Linked DNA regions of Anolis sagrei. The protein of the gene in region 1 interacts with the protein of each later gene in a pairwise test. Links are inferred from orthologs where the notes say so. Each region holds a gene or a part of one and is shown in the gene's direction. Other genes may lie near its edges. The genes, in order: EEF1G, KLHL18 and ILF2.

Evidence for each region.
Region 2: the proteins of EEF1G (region 1) and KLHL18 interact in binary tests that used the Homo sapiens proteins (3 or more experiments, as listed by UniProt). The two-hybrid records come from large-scale screens. The link is inferred for Anolis sagrei from reciprocal best matches to the Homo sapiens genes EEF1G and KLHL18.
Region 3: the proteins of EEF1G (region 1) and ILF2 interact in a two-hybrid assay, tested with the Homo sapiens proteins (2 studies listed by BioGRID and IntAct). The two-hybrid records come from large-scale screens. The link is inferred for Anolis sagrei from reciprocal best matches to the Homo sapiens genes EEF1G and ILF2.

What each region holds. Positions count from the first base shown.
Region 1 is NC_090032.1:21,211,663-21,219,704, reverse strand, and holds the start of EEF1G (elongation factor 1-gamma), read left to right. Parts: upstream 1-3,721; 5' UTR 3,722-3,814; coding exon 3,815-3,829; intron 3,830-7,410; coding exon 7,411-7,569; intron 7,570-7,691; coding exon 7,692-7,755; intron 7,756-7,879; coding exon 7,880-8,022; intron 8,023-8,042. Other genes in the region: RXFP4 (relaxin-3 receptor 2), read right to left, coding at 1-1,462. UniProt on the Homo sapiens protein: Probably plays a role in anchoring the complex to other cellular components.
Region 2 is NC_090026.1:130,254,198-130,262,239, forward strand, and holds the start of KLHL18 (kelch-like protein 18), read left to right. Parts: upstream 1-3,211; 5' UTR 3,212-3,326; coding exon 3,327-3,467; intron 3,468-8,042. UniProt on the Homo sapiens protein: Substrate-specific adapter of a BCR (BTB-CUL3-RBX1) E3 ubiquitin-protein ligase complex required for mitotic progression and cytokinesis.
Region 3 is NC_090032.1:1,534,080-1,542,121, reverse strand, and holds the start of ILF2 (interleukin enhancer-binding factor 2), read left to right. Parts: upstream 1-2,587; 5' UTR 2,588-2,714; coding exon 2,715-2,719; intron 2,720-6,340; coding exon 6,341-6,400; intron 6,401-7,071; coding exon 7,072-7,114; intron 7,115-8,042. UniProt on the Homo sapiens protein: Chromatin-interacting protein that forms a stable heterodimer with interleukin enhancer-binding factor 3/ILF3 and plays a role in several biological processes including transcription, innate immunity or cell growth.

The sequences.
Region 1 (8,042 bases):
TGCGGTTCAAGGGCAGGACCACGACTTCCTCCAGCGTCCGGTGAGAAGAGAAGTACTGGTAGTTCGCCACGGAGGAGGAGAACCTCCGGAAGGTGTCTTTGAGGGCTTCCCGGAATTCACGGCGCATCAGACAGTATAGGACCGGGTTGAGGCAACTGCTGGCGTGAGCCAAGCAAGTGGAGATGGGGAAAAAGTACGTGTGGACGACGTAGAAGGCCTTCCCCAGAGAGACCACCTTGAACTTGATTAGGATGCCCCAAAAGGTCACGGCGTGGTTGGGGAACCAGCAGACGAAGAAGCACCCCACCACTAAGCCGACCGTAGCCATGACTTGTTTCCGCCTCTTTGAGTTCTCACCGGAGACACGGCGGACGTGGAGGAACCTCAGGAGGAGCAGGTAGGAGGTCAAGATGACCACTAATGGCACCACGAAGGTGAAGACCACCCTCTGGAGTTGGTAGGCGCCCAACCAAAACGGCGACGGGAACTTGAAAACGCAGATTTCCACCCCAAGGACGTCCACCACAGAGGTGTAGATCATGGTCGGAATGGTGGCTCCCATGGCTAAGACCCAAAGAGCCAACGTTGTCCACTTGGCCACGCGCATTGTGATTCTGGAACCATCCTTGATGGCTGAAGCCACCAACTGGTAGCGGGCAACGCTCATGGCCGTGAGCAAGAAGACGTTGGTGTAGATGCTGAGGACGGTCATCGATGGGACTATCTTGCATAAGGTTATGCCAAAGGGCCAGCTGAAGTCCAGCGCCATCTCGGTTGCCCAGAAGGGAAGGGTCAAGGAGAACTGGAAGTCGGCCGCCGCCAAGCCAAAGACGAAGATATTAATGGCCGGCGCGGGGCGGATCTTCTGTGCTCGGATTAAGTACATCACCAACGCGTTTCCCAACAGCCCCATGGCACAGACCAACGCATAGACCACGACGATGGTCATCCGCAAGCCAAAGGCAACGTCAGAAGGCATCTGAAGGTCTTCATCCTCATTGAAGGCACCAACGGAGGACCAATTCCAAACGCTGTGGTCAAGGGAGGTCTGGTTCTTGAGTTCCAGATCCCTCCTGGCCTCCATCTTCTCCAAAAGATACTTTGGTTTGGACCACGTTGCCCGCTGGATCACCAAAAGGAATGCTCCTCCATGGGTGGTGGCCTCCCAGATGATACGTCTCCCTTGGCTTTTCGTTCTCTTCCGCTTCTCCAGGTCTTCCTTTGAGAAAGGAAGGGAAGATCTAACCTGCCAAAGGAAGGCTGGAACCTGCCTCAAGACCAAGGACAACCCCTGTTTATGACCACTGGGCAGGGCACGGTTGGTGGCCCGTCTTCTTCTCCGGGAGGAAGAAGGAGGAGGAAGCCCAGCCTTCGCTCTCTGGACTTTTACGGGGATTCTTATCTTTGATTGCGTGCTGAGATTTGTGTAAACAGTCAGGAAGGTGGAGGGAGCCACCTTCATAATATATTATTTATTATAAATATAATAATATGTATAATATAATATAAAAATATAATAATTATTTATTATTATAATAAATAATAAGATTTATTATTATGATTATATAATATGCCAATAATAGCACTATAACAATGTAATATAACGTAATGTAAAATAATACAATAATATTATAATAATATGCCGATTTAAGATTATTATTTATTATTATTATTATTATATATACCAATAATAGCACTATAACAATGTAGTATAACATAATGTAATATAATACAATAATATTATAATAATATGCCGATTTAAGATTATTATTTATTATTATTATTATTATTATATATACCAATAATAGCACTATAACAATGTAGTATAACATAATGTAATATAATACAATAATATTATAATAATATGCCGATTTAAGATTATTATTTATTATTATTATTATTATATATACCAATAATAGCACTATAACAATGTAGTATAACATAATGTAATATAATACAATAATATTATAATAATATGCCAATAATAGCACTACAACAATGTAATATACAACAACAACAATTCTTTATTGATTAGTCAATTTTGACCATATCAAAACATGCAAAACATACAATGTAATATAATGTAATGTAACGTAATATAATATTATAATAATATGCCAATAATAACACTATAAGAATGCAATATAATATAATAATAATATTATAATAATATACCAAGAATAGCACTATAACAATGTAATATAATGTAAGTCACATAATATAATATTATATTCTAATAATCTACGAATAATACCACTATGACAATGTAATATGTAATATAATGTAATGTGATGTAATAATAATAATATACCAATACTATAACAATGAAATATAGTATAATATAATATATAATATAATAATATAAATATAATATGTAATATAATAATATAATAATAATATACAAAGAATATCACTATAACAATGTAATATAATGTAATGTAACATAATATAATATTATAATAATATGCCAATAATAACACTACAACAATGCAATATAATATAATAATAATATAATAATATACCAGGAATAGCACTTTAACCATGTAACATAATATAATAATAATATAATAATATAATAATAATATTCCAATAATAACACTACAACAATGCAATATAATATAATAATAATAATAATAATAATAATACTATACCAATAATAGCACTTTCACCATGTAACATAATATAATAATATAATAATTATAATAATAATATAATATTCCAGTAATAGCACTATAACAATGTAACATAATGTAATGTAACATATAATAATAATAATAATAATAATAATAATAATATGTACCAATAATAATAAGACTGTAACCATATGGTGGGAAAGAATTTCTGAGGAACCCGGAAGCTCCCTCTCCGATTGAGGGTGATGGTTGTCTACTATTTTTTGGCTAGCTCTATGTTTCCTTGGACATTTCTGGGAAAGGATTTCTGAGGAACCCGGAAACTCCCTCTCCGATTGAGGGTGATAGTTGTCTATTATTTTTTGGCTAGCTCTATGTCTCCTTGGGCATTTCTGGGAAAGGATTTCTGAGCAACCGGGAAACTCCCTCTCCGATTGAGGGTGATGGTTGTCTACTATTTTTTGGATAGCTCTATGTTTCCTTGGGCATTTCTGCGAAATAATTTATAAGCAACCCGGAAACTCCCTCTCCGATTGAGGGTGATGGTTGTCTACCATTTTTTGGATAGCTCTATGTTTCCTTGGGCATTTCTGCGAAATAATTTATAAGCAACCCGGAAACTCCCTCTCCGATTGAGGGTGATGGTTGTCTACTATTTTTTAGCTAGCTCTATGTTTCCTTGGGGCATTTCTTTCTGAGCAACCCGGAAACTCCCTCTCTGATTGAGGGTGATGGTTGTCTACTATTTTTGGCTAGCTCTATGTTTCCTTGGGCATTTCTTTCTGAGCAACCTGGAAACTCCCTCTCCAATTGAGAGTAATGGTTGTTTACTACTTTTTTTGCTAGCTCTATGTTTCCTTGTGCATTTCCTTCTGCGCAACCTGGAAACTCCCTCTTCGATTGAGGGTGATAGTTGTCTACTATTTTTTGGCTAGCTCTATGTTTCCTTGGGCGTTTCTGGGAAAGAATTTCTGAGCAACCCGGAAACTCCCTCTCCGATTGAGGGTGATGGTTGTCTACTATTTTTTGGCTAGCTCTATGTTTCCTTGGGCATTTCTCCTCCGCAAGGCCCCGCCTCTCTCTCTCTGGTGACGTCACAGAAGAGGCCGGCGGGGAATGTCGCACTGCTGCGCTTTACGGCCGCGCCGTGCGACGCTCCTCCTTTTCCTCTCCTCGCGAAGATGGCGGCGGCCGGGGTGAGCTCGCTTTCCGGAGGGGGAGCCGGCCTCCATCCGCTTCCATCGGGGCCGGGGAGCCACGGAGGGGCCCCGAAGCGGGACGAGTGGGGAGAGGGGACCCCGGCGGAGGTTTTGGGGCCTATATGGGGGCGAGGAAGCGGATGAAGGGCGAGAAATGGGGGCGAGAAGGGCCTCCGGGGGGGAGTGTCGGGTCACTCTATCCACGTCGAAGTGGCTTCTTAGGCCTCAGTGGAGTGGAGGGAGTCTAGAAGCAGGCTTGGGCCCAAGCTTGGACACTCCTGGTGTTTGGGACTACAACTCCCATCATTCCTCACAGCCTCAGGACCTTTCCTTTCCCCCCTGGGCCCTCCAGGTGTTTGGGACTACAATTCCCATCATTCCTCACAGCCTCAGGACCTTTCCTTTCCCCCCTGGGCCCTCCAGGTGTTTGGGACTACAACTCCCATCATTCCTCACAACCTCAGGCCCTTTCCTTCCCCCCTGGGCCCTCCAGGTGTTTGGGACTACAATTCCCATCATTCCTCACAACCTCAGGCCCTTTCCTTCCCCCCTGGGCCCTCCAGGTGTTTGGGACTACAATTCCCATCATTCCTCACAGCCTCAGGACCTTTCCTTTCCCCCCTGGGCCCTCCAGGTGTTTGGGACTACAATTCCCATCATTCCTCACAACCTCAGGCCCTTTCCTTTTCCCCCTGGGCCCTCCAGGTGTTTGGGACTACAACTCCCATCATTCCTCACAGCCTCAGGCCCTTTCCTTTCCCCCCTGGGCCCTCCAGGTGTTTGGGACTACAACTCCCATCATTCTTCACAGCCTCAGGCCCCTTCCTTTCCCCCCTGGGCTCTCCTGGTGTTTGGGACTACAACTCCCATCATTCCTCACAGCCTCAGGCCCTTTCATTTCCCCCCTGGGCCCTCCAGGTGTTTGGGACTACAACTCCCATCATCCCTCACAGCGTCAGGCCCTTTCCTTTCCCCCCTGGGCCCTCCTGGTGTTTGGGACTACAACTCCCATCATTCCTTAAGCGGCTGAGGGGGAAAAGGAAGGGGCCTGAGGCTGCGAGGAATGATGGGAGTTGTAGTCCCAAACACTCAGAGGGCCCAAGCTTGCAGGCTGTTCTTTGGCCTGTTGTGACAACTGGGACTGAGAAGCCTTGGGGCAATCTGGTGCCCATCATCCTGTTCCTTTGCTGTCTAATACTTTGTCTTGCTAGCCATTGTGGGACTACATTGCCCATCATCCTGTTCTTTTGCTGTCTAATACTTTGTATTGCTAGCCATTGTGGGACTGCATTGCCCATCATCCTGTTCCTTTTGCTGTCTAATACTTTGTATTGCTAGCCATTGTGGGACTACATTGCCCATCATCCTGTTCCTCTGCTCCTTTTCATGTCTTTCTTGTCCTTCCCCTCATCCCTAATAATAATAGTAATAGTAATAGATACATAGGCACTTTGGGTCTTGTTTGTGGAGAGAATAAGCAGAGTATAAACATAATAATAATAATAATAATAATAATAATAATAATAATAATATATACATAATAATACATAATAATAATATATACATAATAATAATAGATATATAGGCACTTTGGGTTTTGTTTGTGGTGAGAATAAGCAGAGTATAAACATAATAATAATAATAATAATATATACATAATAATACATAATAATAATATATACATAATAATAATAGATATATAGGCACTTTGGGTTTTGTTTGTGGTGAGAATAAGCAGAGTATAAACATAATAATAATAATAATAATAATAATATATACATAATAATACATAATAATAATATATACATAATAATAATAGATATATAGGCACTTTGGGTTTTGTTTGTGGAGAGAATAAGCAGAGTATAAACATAATAATAATAATAATAATAATAATATATACATAATAATAATAATAATAATAGATATATAGGCACTTTGGGTTTTGTTTGTGGTGAGAATAAGCAGAGTATAAAAATAATAATATATACATAATAATACATAATAATAATAATACATAGGCACTTTGGGTCTTGTTTGTGGAGAGAATAAGCAGAGTATAAACATAATAATAATACTAATACTAATTATAGATATAAACATCATAATAATAATAATAGATACATAGCCTCTTTGGGTCTTGTTTGTGGAGAGTAAGCAGCGTATAAACATAATAATAATAATAACAATAGATAAATAATAATAATAATAGATACATAGGCACTTTGGGTCTTGCTTGTGGAGAGAATAAGCAGAGTATAATAATAATAATAATAATAATAATAGTAATAATAATAGATACATAGGCACTTTGGGTCTTTTTTGTAGAGAAAATAAGCAGGGTATAAACATAATAATAATAGATACATAACCACTTTGAGTCTTGTTTCTGGAGAGAAAAGCAGGTATAATAATAATAATAATAGATACATAGGCACTTTCGTTCTTCCTTGGGGAGAGAATAAGCAGAGTACAAACATAATAATACATACATACTAATATAGATACATAGTTGCTTTGGGTCTTCCTTGGGGAGAGAATAAGCAGAATATAAACAATAATAATTATAATTGCTATTACTATTATACATCTAATACTAAAAATAGATACATAGCCACTGTTTGTGGAGATAATAAGCAGAGTATAAACAATAATAATTATAATACATATTAATACTAATAATAGATATAAACATAATAATAGATATATAGCCACTTTGGGTCTTGTTTGGGGAGAGAATAAGCAGAGTATAAACATAATAGTAATAATAATGCATACTAAAACTAATAATAGATGCGTAGCCAATTTGGGTCTTGTTTGTGGCGAGAATAAGCAGGGTATAAACATAATATAATAATAATAATAATAAATTCCTTAGCTTTTTGCTTCTATCCATACTTTGGTCTTTCCTTCTTTCCTTCCCTCCCCCTTTCTCTCCTTTCTTCCTTCTCTACCTCTTTCCTTCCTTTCCTTTTTCTTACCTTCTCTTCCTTCCTTCTCTACCTCTTTCTTTTCCCCTTTTTCTTTTCATTCCTCTTTCTCTCCTTTCTTCCTTCTCTACCTCTTTCCTTCCTTCCTTTGCTTTTTGCTTCTATCCATACTTGTCTTTTCTTTTTTCCTTCCCTTCCTCTTTCTCTCCTTTCTTACTTCTCTACCTCTTTCATTCCTTTCCTTTTTTTTACCTTCTCTTCCATCCTTCTCTACCTCTTTCTTTCCTCCCCCTTTTTCTTTTCATCCCTCTTTCTCTCCTTTATAATAATATAATATAATAATAATAAATAATAAATTAATAAATAATAAATAATAAATGATAATACTAATAATAGATACATAACCTCTTTGGGTCTTGTTTGTGAAGAGAATAAGTGGGGTATAATAATAATAATAATAATAATAATAATAATAATAATAAATATGTATACATCACACAGTCCTAGATGCTTGGGAAGTGTTCGACTTGTGATTTTGTGATAGGAAATCCAGCATATAGATCTCGTTTGCTGTGACATACTGTGGTTTGGTGTCAGTAAAATAATAGTAATAGTAATAATAATAATATTAATATTATCCTTCTGCAGACTCTCTACACTTACCCCGAAAACTGGCGGGCTTTCAAGGTCCTCATTGCGGCCCAGTACAGCGGCGCCAAGATCAAGGTCCTCTCCAGCCCGCCCCAGTTCCACTTCGGGCAGACCAACAAGACCCCCGAGTTCCTGAAGAAATTCCCAGTTGGGAAGGTGGGTCTCTGGGATGGAGCTGGGACCTGTCAAGACTGGGAAGCGTATTCTTGGGAGCACTGGGAGACTTAGCGTCATTGTTTACATCCCTTTGGTGGCTTACGACAGCTCTTTCTTTGTAGGTCCCAGCTTTTGAAGGGGACGATGGGTTCTGCGTGTTTGAGAGCAACGCCATTGCACACTACGGTAACAGTATTCCCCCATGTGTCTTTGTCATTACCTCCATAAAGGGGGATTTATAGTTTGTGGGAATTCAGCTCAGGAATCCAAGCAAGGCCTATTGTGGTGACCGTCTCCTTCATTCCTTCAGTCAGCAACGAAGAGCTGCGAGGAGCCACCAAAGAGGCGGCCGCCCAGGTCCTCCAGTGGGTGAGCTTTGCCGACAGCGATATTGTGCCTCCCGCCAGTACCTGGGTCTTCCCAACCTTGGGCATCATGCATTACAACAAGCAGGTAAAGTCCGCACCATACAC
Region 2 (8,042 bases), on another chromosome or scaffold:
TTGTTGATGTTTCTTCCAGCAATTTTCACCCCAGCTTTGCATTCCTCAAGCCCCGCACATCCTCGCATGATGTGTTCTGCATATAAGTTAAAAAGGTTGGGTGAGAGGATGCAGCCTTGCCGTACGCCTTTCCCAATCTTGAACCCGTCTCCTGTTCCGTGGTCAGTTCTGACTGTTGCCACTTGGTCCTTGTACAGATTCCTCAGGAGAGAGGGAAGGGGGCTTGGGATGCCCATCCCACCAAGAACTTGCCACAATTTATTATGATCCACACAGTCAAAGGCTTTAGAATAGTCAATGAAGCAGAAGTAGATGTTTTTCTGAAACTCCCTGCCTTTCTCCATTCTTCAGCTTCCGGATATTGGCAATCTGGTCTCTGGTTCCTCTGCCTTTTCTAAACCCAGCTTGAACATCTGGCAGCTCTCGCTCCATGTATTGCTGGAGTCTTCCTTGCAGGATCTTGAGCATTACCTTACTGGCATGAGAAATAAGGGCCACGGTACGGAAGTTGGAGCAGTCTTTCGCATTTCCCTTTTTTGGTATGGGGATATAAGTGGATTTTTTCCAGTCTGATGGCCATTCTTGTGTTTTCCATATTTGCTGGCATATGGCATGCATCACCTTGACAGCATCATCTTTTAAGATTTTAAACAGTTCAACTGGGATCCTGTCGTCTCCTGCTGCCTTGTTGTTAGCAATGCTTCTTAAGGCCCATTCCACCTCACTCCTCAGGATGTCTGGTTCTAATTCATTCACCACACTGTCAAAACTATCCTCAATATTATTATCCTTCCTATACAGATCTTCTGTATAGTCTCACCACCTTCTCTTCTCTCTTCAGCTTCTGTTAGGTCCCTGCCATCTTTGTTTCTTATCATACCAATTTTTGCCTGAAATTTACCTCCAATGTTTCTAATTTTCTGGAAGAATAATAATGAATTTTATATATATATATATATATATATATATATATATATATAATATTTTATATGTATATTTAATATATTATATTATATATTATATAATATTATATTATATTTATTTATTTGGATTGCTTTTACCCCGCCCTTCTCAACCCCCTAGGGGGGACTCAGGGCGGCTTACAAAAGGCACAATTCGATGCCTAACAATTACAGCATACAGTACACTATACAATACACAAATTTACCACATAATATCACAGTTATAACTAATTAAAATTTATACATTATATTATATTATATAATATTTTATATGTATATTTAATATATTTTATTATATTTATATATAATATATAATAATATTATATATATTATATAATATAATATTATTAATACAATATAATACTAATTAATAATATATAATATTAATATTATATTAATATATAATATTGATACTATATTAATATATAATATTAATATAATAATATTATATATTTATTATATTTATATAATATAATATTATAATAATGAATCATATATACATTACATTATATATATAATATTATAATATATTAAATATATATAATATAATATAATAATAATAATATTGAATTATATATATAATATTTTATATGTATATTTAATATATTTTATTATATTTATATATAATATATAATAATATTATATATTATATATAATATAATATTAATATATTAATAAATATTAATATAATATTAATATAATAACTACTAATATATTACATTAATAATATTATATAATATATAATATATATTATATTATATATATAAATATAATAAAATATATTAAATATACATATAATATATAATTATATATATAATTCATTGTTATTATATTAACATAATATAATATAATATATTAATATAAATATAATATTTAGGTAACGGCGCTCCATGCAGTCATGCTGGCCACATGACCTTGGAAGGTGTCTACGGACAACGCCGGCTCTTCGGCTTAGAAATGGAGATGAGCACCATCCACCAGACACAATTTATTTATTTCATTCACTTATACCCCGCCCTTCTCACCCCGGGGGGGACTCAGGGCGGCTTACAGGGGAAGGCACAATTAGATGCCCAAACACATAACAAATAATACAAAAATAACAATTCAACACTTAAGTTAAAAACATCGGTACATAGTAAAATCCTGAAACCTAAAAACAATCTCAAGTCAGGGTCCATATATCAGAGTCCACAGTCCGATCTACTCCGTTTGTCTTTGTCTATTCCCAGGTCCTTGATTTAATTGTTAGAGTGACCAAAAGCTTGGTCCCACATCCAGGTCTTTAGTTTTTTCCTAAATGCTAGGAGAGAGGTCGCCGATCTAATCTCCCCGGGGAGTGAGTTCCACAGGCGGGGGGCCGCCACTGAGAAGGCCCTGCTCCTCGTCCCCGCCAGCCTCGCTTGAGAGACTGGCGGGGTCGAGAGCAGGGCCTCCCCAGAAGATCTTAGACTTCGAGGTGGGACGTAGAGGGAGATCCGTTCGGACAAATACACTGTGCCGGAACCGTATAGGGTTTTATAGGTCAAGACCAGCACTTTAAATTCTGCTCGGAATTGGATTGGCAGCCAGTGGAGCTGACGCAACAGGGGGGTGGTGTGCTCCCTGTATGTCGCTCCGGTGAGCAACCTGGCTGCTTCTCGCTGTACAAGTTGAAGTTTCCGAGCAGTCTTTAATGGCAACCCCACATAGAGTGCGTTGCAGTAATCCAGCCGGGATGTGACAAGAGCGTGGACCACCGTGGCCAGATCCGACTTCTGGACTTAATGTCAGGAGACTACCTTTACCTTTACCTATAACATAATATAATATATATAATATAATAATAATATAATATAATATATATAATTAATATAATATAATATAACATAATATAATAATATAATATAATTAAATAAAATAAATAATATATATAATATAATATAATAATATAATATAATATAATAATTTAATATAATATGACATAATATAATATAATATATTATATATATAATAATATAATAATAATGATTCGTTATAGTAATAATCATAATAATCTATTTTACAAACCCGCCTGAAACGGAGCAAGAGAGAGCGCACGCGCGGAGGTAGTTCTCCCTCCGTTGCTGTGGCGACCGCCACTTCCTGCGTCTCCCCGTTGCCTAGGCGACGCCCGCTTCCTTCCCTTCCCAAAACCCCGCCCTCCCGGTGACGTCAGGCGAGGCTTCAAAGCGCAAAGGGGGCGGGGCGTCAGGCACAGAAGGGAGGAGGATGTCAATGATGTCACTTCCGGCGTTTCTCTCACTCTCTCAGTGAAAGCGGTGCGGCGACGGTGGCCGAGCGGGGCCAAGCCGAGGAGAAGGAGGAGGAGGTGGTGCTGCCGCCATGCTGGAGACGGCGGGCCCGGATCCGGAGCTGGACCCGGAGGATTTGGTCCACTTCTCGGTGGGGGACTTGCCCAGCCGGGGCTACGGCGTGATGGGAGAGATACGCAGGCAAGGGAAGCTCTGCGACGTCACCCTCAAGGTAAGGAAGGCCTCAGCAGGCCAGTTTGGGCCCTCCCTCCTTGTATGAGTTTGGGACTACAACTCCCACAATTCCTCACAGCCTCAGTCCCCTTCTTTTTCCCCCTCAGCCGCTTAAGCGGCTGAGGGGGAAAAGGAAGGGGCCTGAGGCTGTGAGGAATTGTGGGAGTTGTAGTCCCAAACTCATACAAACAGGTTGGGTCCCTAGGTGACTGTGGAGCCCTATTCTTGACCTGCATCTTCTCCCACAGTGAGGGCATCGGTTTCAAAGTGGAAGTCAGCCCCAGTCGGGGTTGGCTTGACATGCCTTCCTCTTGGCACGCTTCTCTTTTTCGCCCTCTTCAAATTCTACAGCACTGCTGGTCACAGCTGACCTCCAGCTGGAGCGGTCAAGGGCCAGGACTTCCCAGTTCTCAGTGTCTATGCCAGAGTTTTTAAGGTTGGCTTTGAGCCCATCTTTCAATCTCTTTTCCTGCCCACCATAATTCCGTTTTCCCTTCTCGAGTTCGGAGTAGAGCAACTGCTTTGGGAGACAGTGGTCGAGCATCCGGATAACGTGAGTTGATGGTGGAGGACGATCGCTTCAATGCTGGTGGTCTTTGCTTCTTCCAGCACGCTGACGTTTGTCCGCTTGTCTATCAAAGAGATTTGCAGGATTTTCCGGAGGCAGCGCTGATGGAATCGTTCCAGGAATTGCATGTGACGTCTGTAGACAGTCCACGTTTTGCAGGTGTATAGCAGGGTTGGGAGGACAATAGCTTTATAGACAAGCACCTTGGTATCCCTACAGGTGTCTCAGTCCTCAAACACTCTCTGCTTCATTCGGAAAAATGCTGCACTCGCAGAGCTCAGGCGGTGTTGTATTTCAGTGTCCATGTTGACTTCTGTAAACAGTCCACTTCTTGCAGGTGTATAGCAGGGTTGGGAAGACAATGGCTTTATAAACAAGCACCTTAGTATCCCATTTGTCCACCTGTCTTCCCAAGAGATTTGCAGGATTTTCCGGAGGCAGCGCTGATGGAATCGTTCCAGGAGTTGCATGTGACATCTGTAGACAGTCCACGTTTCGCAGGTGTATAGCAGGGTTGGGAGGACAGTAGCTTTATAAATAAGCACCTTGGTATCCCTACAGATGTCCCGGTCCTCAAATACTCTCTGTTTCATTCGGAAGAATGCTGCACTTGCAGAGCTCGGGTGGTGTTGTATTTCAGTGTCAATGATGACTTCTGTAGACAGTCCACGTCTCGCAGGCGTATAGCAGGGTTGGGAGGAGAAGGGCTTTATAAACAAGCACCTTGGTATCCCTACGGATGTCCTGGTCCTCAAACACTCTCTGCTTCATTCGGAAAAATGCTGCGCTCACAGAGCTCAGGTGGTGGTGTATTTCAGTGTCAATGTTGACTTTGGTGGAGAGGTGGCTGTCAAGGTAGCGGAAATGGTCCACGTTTTCTAATGTTACACCATTAAGCTGTATTTCTGGCATTGGAGAGGGAGTGGCCGGTGACTGCTGGAAGAGCACTTTGGTTTTCTCGATATTTAATGACAGGCCGAGCTTCTCGTATGCTTCTGCAAAGGTGTTTAGAGTGGCATTCTTCTGAATGCACACAGATGACGTTATCCTCAGTATACTGGAATTCTGTAACAGATGTTGTTGTGACCTTAGTTTTAGCTTTCAGTCTGCCGAGGGTAAATAGCTTGCTGATAGATGATTTCCACTCCGGTGGGGATCTTCCCATCAACAAGGTGAAGTATCAGAGCGATGAAGATGGAGAATAAAGTTGGGGCAATAACACATCCCTGTTTGACACCTGATTCCATCTTAAATGGGTCACTTTGGGAGCCATTGCTGTCCAATCCCAGGTGACAGCAGGATTGAAGAGAAACAACCAGAAAAGCTGACACGATGTGAGGATGTAAAAATCGAATTGCAAAGACTCTGGCACAAGCCAGTAAAGGTGGTCCCATTGGTGGTCAGCACACTGGGTGCAGTGCCTCAAGACCTTGGCCTGCACTTAAACACAGTCTGCACTAACAAAATTACCACCTGCCAGCTGCAGAAGGCCACCTTACTGGGATCTGATACATCACACAGTCCTAGGCACTTGGGAAGTGTCCGACGTGTGATCCAATACAACAGTCACCAGAGTGATCTTGTTTGCAGGGGACTCATCTTGTTGTGTTTCCAACTGACAAAATACCCAGTGCATAGGGATCACCAAATGCAGCATTGCCCAGGCACAAATCAAAGAACACAAAAGGCACTGCAGACACATTCAGCCAGAGAAGTCAGCCATACCAGAGCATTTGATGAACCAACCTGGACGCGGAATATTATTTGAGAACACAGACATTCTAGACACCATGTCAAACTACACAGAGATGCCCCTGAAATCCACAGGCATGTGAACAATCTCAACAGAAAGGGCATTCCATAGACATATATACTCCTCTTGCTTAAAGAATCATAGAATCAAAGAGTTGGAAGAGACCTCATGGGCCATCCAGTCCAACCCCATTCTGCCAAGAAGCAGGAATGTTGCATTCAAATCATCCCTGACAGATGGCCATCCAGCCTCTGTTTAAAAGCTTCCAAAGAAGGAGCCTCCACCACACTCCGGGGCAGAGAGTTCCACTGCTGAACGGCTCTCACAGTCAGGAAGTTCTTCCTCATGTTCAGATGGAATCTCCTCTTTTGTAGTTCGAAGCCATTGTTCCATTGCGTCCTAGTCTCCGAGGAAACAGAAAACAAGCTTGCTCCTTCCTCCCTGTGGCTTCCTCTCACATATTTATATATGACTATCATATCTCCTCTCAGCCTTCTCTTCTTCAGACTAAACATGCCGAGCTCCTTAAGCCGCTCCTCATAGGGCTTCTTCTCCAGACCCTTGATCATTTTACTATCAGATTACTATCAGATCCTTGGAAGATGCTAGCCACAGATGCAGGCAAAACATCAGGAGAATATGCTGCTAGAACACATTGGCCAGACAGCCCGGAAGCCACGCAACACACCAACTCCCATTCCCTTTGGTTATTTGCCCTGCAGACTGGGAACGATGGGAATGGTAACCCAACATTATTTATGCCTCTGAGGTTAGGGAAAGGTTAAAATGCTTTTTAAAGTCAGGCATCATATCCACAAGCCTTGGATCTATATTCAAACCCCGCTGATTGACCATAACAAACTACATCTGTATCACTGATGGCAGCTCTTGTCATGTTGTCTAATGATGAATAATACGGGAGTTGTATTCCAGCATTTGGAGGAGGGCCACATAAAAGGAAATGGAGGAATGGATGTTGCCCAAGAGCCTTGAGTTTGACACCTCTGCATCAATAATCTTCCTCTCTTCTGCTTTGACAGGCCTCATTTTGGAATATTTATTTATTTATTTCAGTTATTTCTACCCCGCCCTTCCCACCTCGGAGGGGACTCAGGGCGGCTTACAAAGGCACAATTTGATGCCGGCATCAACATAACAGTAGAATAAAAACAATATAGCAGCAATTAAACAATTAACAATCAGTTTCTACATTGCAACAATAAAACCAAAAAACCAATAAAACCAATTTCACCTAATTAACGCTCAGCATTCGGAATAATACTGTGTCCAATTCTGGGCAAAGCTGTTCAAGAAGGAGATGGACAGTGAGACAAAAGGTCTTTAGAGAAGGGCGACCAAAATGACCTAAGGACTGGAAACTATGAATAAATGAAAAAGTGCTGGCGACTTTCTCTGACTGTGCTCTAGCGAGTGTCCTAACCTACTGCATCTGTGCATGGTTTGGCAACTGCACAGTGGCAGATAGGAAAGTGCTCCAAAGGGTCACCATCTCTGCACAGAGAAATGTTGGTTGCCCTCTTTCTCCCCTCTTTGGAAGAACTTTATAGGTTCCGCAACCTTATGAAAGCTCTGAACATTCTTGGGGATCCATCTTGCCCAGCATATTCTCTTTTTGAAGTATTACCACCTAGCAAACAGTTCAGGGTGACAAAGACAAGGGTAAACAGACCGAGGGCCCTCCCACACAGCCATATAACCCAGAATATCAAGACAGAAAATCCCACAATATCTGCTTTGAACAGGGTTATGTGATTCCACACTGACATATATTCCAGTTCAAAGCAGAAAATGTGGGATTTTATTTAGCTGTGTGGAAGGAGCCTGAGAGTTGTAACTGGTGTGTGCTGAGGAAGGCATTTAATGTCGTTGTGCAATAGCACAATAACAATAAAGCTATTCTATTCTGTGAATCCCCCTGAGAAGCGCCTTGGGGAGCTGTGTCCATTTAACTTGGGAAAGATAAAGTTGAATGGGAACACAAGAGCGATGATTAAATACTCTGAGGGAATGCCATAGTGCAGTGTTTCTCAACCTGGGGGTCGGGAGCCCGGTGGGGGTGGGGTCGCCAAAGACCATGAGACAACACAGTATTTTCTGTTGGTCTTTGTGGTTCTGTTTAGGAAGTTTGGCCCAATTCTATCGTTGATGGGATTCAGAATTCTCTTTGATTGTAGGTGAACTATAAATTCCAGCAACTACAACTCCCAAATTCCCCAAACTCCACCAGTGTT
Region 3 (8,042 bases), about 20 Mb from region 1:
TGCTGTTGTTATTATTGCACTATATTTGCCCTTACCTGCTCAACCTGCTGCACCAATTAATATTATTATTCCTATTACGATGACTAATATTGCATACTTGTCCTTGCCTGCTCAAGATGGCACTGGCTGCACCAATAACATTAGCATTAGTATTCTTATTATCTCAGGGAATTTGCTCTTGCAAACAACAACAACAACACTACAATTAGAAGAATAATAATTACAGACTCACTGGAGCCCTAAAGTGAGGCGGGCAATATCGCCACCTGGTGGTCAGTGCTAGGAATGCCCTCTTCTGCTCCACAAGGTCTCTCATTAGTACTAATTATTATGATTCTCATCATCATCACTGTCATCAGTGCTATAAACATCTATGGCCTCCCCAGGACACCATATAAATAATCAATTAATTATTAATATTCTTAATTGTTATTACTTGTGAATAATTAATTATATTATATTAATAGTTAATAATTAATATTAATAATTAATATTATTATTAATATAACGAATATGGCTAATTTAATATAACTAAATTATAATTAATATTAATAGTTAATAGTTTCCTATTAATTGATATTAATTAAATATTAATATTAATTAATATTAGTGATTAATATAAATAAGTATTAATAGTTAATACTTAGTAGGCATCCTATTAATTAATATTAATTAAATATTAATATTAATTAATATTAATAATTCAAGTAATCAATTATTAATAGTTAATAATGAATATTAATAATTAATATTATTGATATAACGAATATAGCTAATATAATATAACGAAATTATAATTAATATTAATATAATTAATATTTTGATTTTGATTGATGATTAATATTAATTAATGTTAATATTTAATTAATATCAATTAATAGACATCTTATTAATTAATATTAATTAAATATTAACATTAATTAATATTAATAATCAATATAATTAATTATTAATAGTTAACAATTAATAGCCATCCTATTAATTAATATTAATTAAATATTAATATTAATTAATGTTAATAATTAATATAATTAATTATTAATAGTTAATGATTAATAAGCATTCTATTAATTAAAATTAATTAAATTTTAATATTAAGTAATATTAATAATTAATATAAATAATTATTAATAGTTAATGATTAATAGGTATCTTAACTATTAATTATTATTTATATAATATTAATAATTATTAATAGTTAGGATACCTATTAATCATTAACTATTAATAATTATTTATATTGATTTATATTAAAAAACCAAAACAAAATTCAAATGAATATTAATTACAGTAATTTCCAAGTAGGTACGGGCTTTTCCTAAATTAACAAAGCGTGCTTAATGTTGTGTTTAAGGGAGAATTAAATTATCATTGCTAATTATTATTAATTATTATTATTATTATTTATTAAATAATAAATAATATTAATTAATATTAATAATTAATATTAATAATTATTAGGTATCCTATTAATACTAATTATTAATTATTATAATTAATAATAATAATTAATAATAATTAGCAAATAGCAATGATAATTTAATTCTCCCTTAAACACAACATTAAGCACACTTTGTTAATTTAGGAGAAGCACGTACCTACTTAGAAATGAATTACTGTAATTAATATTCATTTGAATATTAATTTGAATAATTTGAAGAGAGGGGAAAAAATTAGCAGAGGATGGTTTCGATCCATCGACCTCTGGGTTATGGGCCCAGCACGCTTCCGCTGCGCCACTCTGCTCCATTGGAACTCCAGGCGGCTTAGGGAGTACATAAGAGCATGTCACGTTCTGCGCATGCGCACGTTTCTTGGAGTCATTTCCTTTGGAGTCTCTCCTCCTAGGGAAGCACCGCGCATGCGCCCCTTTCGCCTCTTCTCTCCATCTCCTCCTAGGGAGGCACTGCGCATGCGTCCCTTTCTCTTCTCTCCATCTCCTCCTAGTGAGGCACTGCGCATGCACCGCTTTCGCCTCTTCTCTCATCTCCTCCTAGTGAGGCACTGCGCATGCGTCCCTTTCTCTTCTCTCATCTCTGCCTAGTGAGGCACTGCGCATGCGTCCCTTTTTCCTCTTCTCTCTCCTCCTAGTGAGGCACTGCGCATGCGCCCCTTTCGCCTCTTCTCTCCTCCTAGTGCGCATGCGTTCCTTTCTCCTCTCAATCTCCTCCTAGTCAGCCACTGCGCATGCGTCCCTTTCTCCTCTCAATCTCCTCCTAGTGAGGCACTGCGCATGCGCCCCTTTCTCTCAATCTCCTCCTAGTGAGGCACTGCGCATGCGTCCCTTTCTCTCCCTCTCCTCCTAGTGAGGCACTGCGCATGCGTCCCTTTCTCCTCTCAATCGCCTCCAATGAGGCACTGCGCATGCGCTCCTTTCTCCTCCTCTCTCCTTTCTCCTATTGGCGAACGAGGAGAAAAAAGAGAAAAGGGTGTGCGCGCGCGGCCTGATTGATAGGCCCAGAAGCCAATAAAATCACAGAACCTGAAAGAAAGGGCGGGGAAAAAAGAGGAACGCGAGACAGGAATTGGCTGCAAGGTTAGGAACCTACCACGGCGGGTTTTACTCACTTGGGAAGGCCAATCGCGTCGACGCTTCTTGCGAGGTGGACAAAGGCGGCGGCGAAAGAGCGGGCCGGGTGGTTATTCTTCGCGGAGGGTCTTCAGGGAGGAAGAGGCGCTTTGCGGACTCGGAACGGTTCTCACTGGAAGGAAGCATGAGGTAAAAAGAGGGAGAAGTCAGAGAGAGAGATGGAAATATGGAAATATACATATTATATTATGTATATTATATATATATATATATATATATAATATTATTATAATATTATAGTATTTAATTTAATAAATATATTATATTATTATATGTATATTTAATATTTAATATTTAATATTATTATAATATTATAATATTTAATATAATATATATATATGTATATATATAATGTTATTATAATATAATAATATTTAATTTAATATATAATATATATATTATATTATTAAATATAATATATAATACTAAATATAAAATATATATTATATGAAAATTATATATTTATTTAATATATATGAGATAAATAAAATACTATGTATATTATTTAATATTGTATAATGTTCTATATATTAAACATTACACATTAAATAATATATGTAGTATTTTATTTATCTCATATATATTAAATTTAATATATAAATAATATATAGATAATATAGATACATTCTCTATAATATATATAATATCTATCTGATATTATATCTATATGATCTATATATTAGATATAATATCATATACATATTATAGAGAATGTATCTATATTATCTATATATTAAATTGTAGATATATTATCTATAATATAGATAATAGATAATATAGATACATTCTCTATAATATCTATATGATCTATATATTAAACATTATACAGTATTAAATAATATATATAGTATTTCATTTATCTCATATATATTAAATTAATATATAATTTTCATATAATATATGTTATATTATAGATAATATATCTACAATATAATATATAATCATCTATATTATCTATATTATAGATAATATAGATATAATTTAATATATAGATAATATATTATAACTATATATAATATAATATATCACACGCATATTAAATATTATACGATATTAAATATTAAATAGTTTATTTAATATATTATAGATACTCAATATATTTAATGCTATATATATATATATATATATATATATATATATAATATGCACAGACTATATAAAGGCCTTAAATCACCATATATATATATATTATGTTATACTTATATAATTTTAAATATTGTATAAGATTTAATCTATATATATAAATTTGTTAGGGGCATCCAACGAGGAAACAAAACTCAAAAACCCCCCAACGAAACTGTACCAAAATTGCCATGCCCATAAGACAACCCACAAGGTACAAACATATCTACTCAAAATGAAAAACAACACAACAACACACTCACAAAACGGCAAAACAATTGAGCATGCGCATTGGTGCCCAGCCGCAAGTTCCCTGGCGCGCGCACACAGTTCCCTCTGCGGAAGCCATGCCCACTCCAAGCCCCGCTACGCTCCTTCCCGTACACACACACCCCGCCGCAAGCACACACACAACCCCACGCTCCATCACTCCCCCCGCCGCACACACACACGCAACCCCACGCTCCATCACTCCCCCACCGCCACATACACACGCGCAACCCCACTCCCCCCCGCTGCCGCACACACACACGCAACCCCACGCTCCATCACTCCCCCCGCTGCCGCACACACACACACAACCTCACGCTCCATCACTTGCCTGCCCCAATCTTACCTCCTTTTACTTCACGCCACCTCCAAACCCCACCGCACCCCTTCCCGCCCTGTCAAAATCCAGGAAAGACAGGAAGGAAGGAAAGAAGGAAGAAAGAGAAAGGGAGATAAAGAAAAGGGGGAAGGAAGGAAAGTTAGAGAAAGAAGGAAGAAGAAAAGGAAAGAAAAGGAAAGATGGAAGGAAAGAAAAGAGAGACAGCAGAAGAGAAAGAAAAAGGGGGAAGGAAGGAAAGAGGTAGAGAAGGAAGAAATGAGAGACAGAGGGAGGGAAAGAAAAAGGGGGAAGGAAGGAAGGAGAGAAGGAAAGAAAAAAGGGAATGAAAGAAGGAAAGAGGGAGTGAAGGAAGGGGGAAGATGTAGAGAAAGAGGGAGGGAAGGAAAGAAGGAAAGAGAGAAGGAAGAAAAGAGACCAGAAGAGAAAGAAAAAGGGGGAAGGAAGGAAAGAGAGAAGGAAAGAAAAAAGGGAATGAAGGAAGGAAAGAGGGAGTGAAGGAAGGGGGAAGATGTAGAGAAAGAGGGAGGGAAGGAAAGAAGGAAAGAGAGAAGGAAGGAAAGAGGCCAGAAGAGAAAGAAAAAGGGGGAAGGAAGGAAGGAGAGAAGGAAAGAAAAAAGGGAATGAAGGAAGGAAAGAGGGAGTGAAGAAAGGGGGAAGATGTAGAGAAAGAGGGAGGGAAGGAAAGAAGGAAAGAGAGAAGGAAGGAAAGAGGCCAGAAGAGAAAGAAAAAGGGGGAAGGAAGGAGATAGAGAAGGAAGAGGAGAAGGAAAGATGGGAGGGAAGGAAGGAAGGAGGGAAAGAAGGAGAGAAAGAGGGAAGGTTGGTCACAGCAATGCGTGGCGGGTAAAGGTTGTTATTTCTATGATTATTATGATGCTATTATTCCTCTGAGACCCTTTTAGGGGGAATGGGAGAGGTGTCAGGTCCCGGAGGCAATGCATTGCATTATTGCTATTGTTATGATGGTGGTGAAATAAAAGGAAATAAAAAGCGAAAGAAGGAAGCAAACAGGGAGGGAAGAAAGGCAAAGGAAGAAAGGGGGAGGGAATGAAGGAAAGAGAGAAGGATGAAACCAAGTAGTGAAAGAAGGAAAGAAAGAAAGAGGTAGAGAAGGAAGAAAGGAGAGAAAGGGGGAGGAAAAGGGGGAAGGAAGAGGTAGGTACCTCTCTTTCATAATAGTCCAGATATCTACCTCAACTTTGATAAGTTTTACTATAGGCCACAGCAACGCATGGCAGGGCACAGCTAGTACTGTATATATTTGTGTGGGTGTAATATACCTATATTATCTATATATTACATATTATACAATTTTAAATATTACATAAATATGATATAAACATATATATGGTGTTTTATTTAATGCCTTTGTACTTTGCATATATATATATATATATATTATAATATACATACTCTATATATTTAATGCTATATATATATATATAAGCACAGAATATATAAAGACATTAAAACTATATATACATATACATACATCATACTTGCATAACATTTGATATTGTATAATATTTAACACTGTATATATATTGTGTGGGTGTAATATATATCTATATTATCTATATATTACATATTATGCAATATTAAATATTACATAAATATAGTATTAACATATATATGGTGTTTTATTTAATGCCTTTATATATTCTGTGCTCTCTCTATATATAGCATTAAATATATTGAATGTCTATATCTATCTTTCTATACGCATCTATCTATCTATATATATTGTGGCAGAGGCCTCCTGCCTCCACAAACATAATACTGGCAGGATTTGGGGGTGCCTGCCCTTGGCATATGGGACTTGTAGTTCACCCTTATCCAGAGAGAACTGAACCCAGCTGACGACGGATCTGGACCTCACTTGACACGCAGACGCAGCATGGCCAGCTGGTTTGGGGAGGATTGACCCATGATTCTGGGAACTGTAGTTCTCCCACATTTTCTAATGGGAACATTCCTAAAAAACGAAATCTCATTCTGGCTTTTTTCCTAATTAACAGGGGCGATAGAGGCCGTGGTCGTGGAGGGCGCTTTGGCTCTCGGGGAGGCCCTGGCAGTGGGTAAGTCCCAGAGATTGTGTGTGTGTGTTTGTGTGTGAGAGAGAGACAGTCCTCGAGTAGCACCTCCATCTTTGTTTGTGTCTGTGGGAGTCGTAGTTTGGTGAGGCACCCGCACTTTGGCAGAGAAGGCTAAAGCCCTTCAGATATGACCCCAGGATGCCATACCATGGAGCCGTGACGGCTAAAGTGGTGTTGAGCTGCATTAATAATACAGTGTGGACACACCCCTTGAAAGCTTGACAGCTTGATCTGTGCTGTCAGTGTAGTTTTCCATGACCTCGAAAGTGTGCTGTATCTGGGACAGTGGGAATTTAACACTGCAAGCTTTAGGTATTTCTTCTGTGGCTCGGCTGCTGTTGCGCATGTTGTGTTGTTTTGTGGTGTCCTTTTATAGATGTCTTTGACTTGGTTGTGCCCTGCTTTGAGCCCAAAGGCGAGGAATAAATAGAATGATTGTTATTGTTACGTGCCTTGTGCTGGATCTACACTGTCCTACATCCCAGGATATGGTCCCAGATTATTTGGCCATGTAGACTTATATAATCCAGTTCAAAGCAGATAATTTTGGATAATATCCTGGGATATAGGACAATATAAATCCAGCCTTGGCTTGGGGTTCCAGCGGGAATGAAATCAAAACACACTCTCTTTCCTGTCACCTTGTGTTTCAGGTTCCGGCCCTTTGTGCCTCACATCCCTTTTGACTTCTATGTGGTAAGTCGTCTTTGAAAAGTGCCCTCCGGGTTTGTTTTATTTATTTACTTACCGTATTATACTCGAGTATAAGCCGACCCAAATATAAGCCGAGGCACCTGATTTTACCACAAAAAACTGGGGAAACTTATTGACTCGAGCATAAGCCGAGGGTGGGAAATTCAGCCGCTATGGGTCTGTTTCAAAATAAAAATAGATACTAATAAAATTACATTAATTGAAGCATCAGTAGGTTGAATGTTTATTAATATTTACATAAGACTGTCCAACTCTGACTAATCCGTTATTCTAACTTTCTTCAATGTACATGTGTACGTATCCTTCCAATAATAATAGAGTAAAATAATAAAAGTAATAATAATAAAAATAATAAACTTAACCTATAAATGTAATAATAATGATGATAATGATAATAGAGTAAAATAAAAAATAATCTTGACTCGAGTATAAGCCGAGGGGAGCTTTTTCAGCCTAAAAAAAGGGTTGAAAAACTCAAGTATAGACAGTATTAATTTACGACATTTATATCCCACCCTTCTCACCCCAAAGAGGAACTCAGAGCAGCTTACAAGTAATATGTATATACAATATATTATATTATTACCATTTATTTATTTATTTATTTGGTACGCTTATATACCGCTAATATCTCAGCCTATACGGCGACTCATTGCGGTTTACAGCATATTTAAAACTACAATATTCCAATTACAAATATAAAGTTAAAATATAAAATACATACATATACATACATAAAAGTATTGGGCCACCAATACAGACCAGAACATCTCATAATTAAAGTCACAATCCAAATTCGTTGTCCGAGATTGCTAATCCATGATCAAGCATCATCAGGTCGGGTTAGCCGAAAACTTGCTGGAACATCCAGGTTTTCAGTTTTTTCCGAAATGCCATTAGCGAGGTGGCT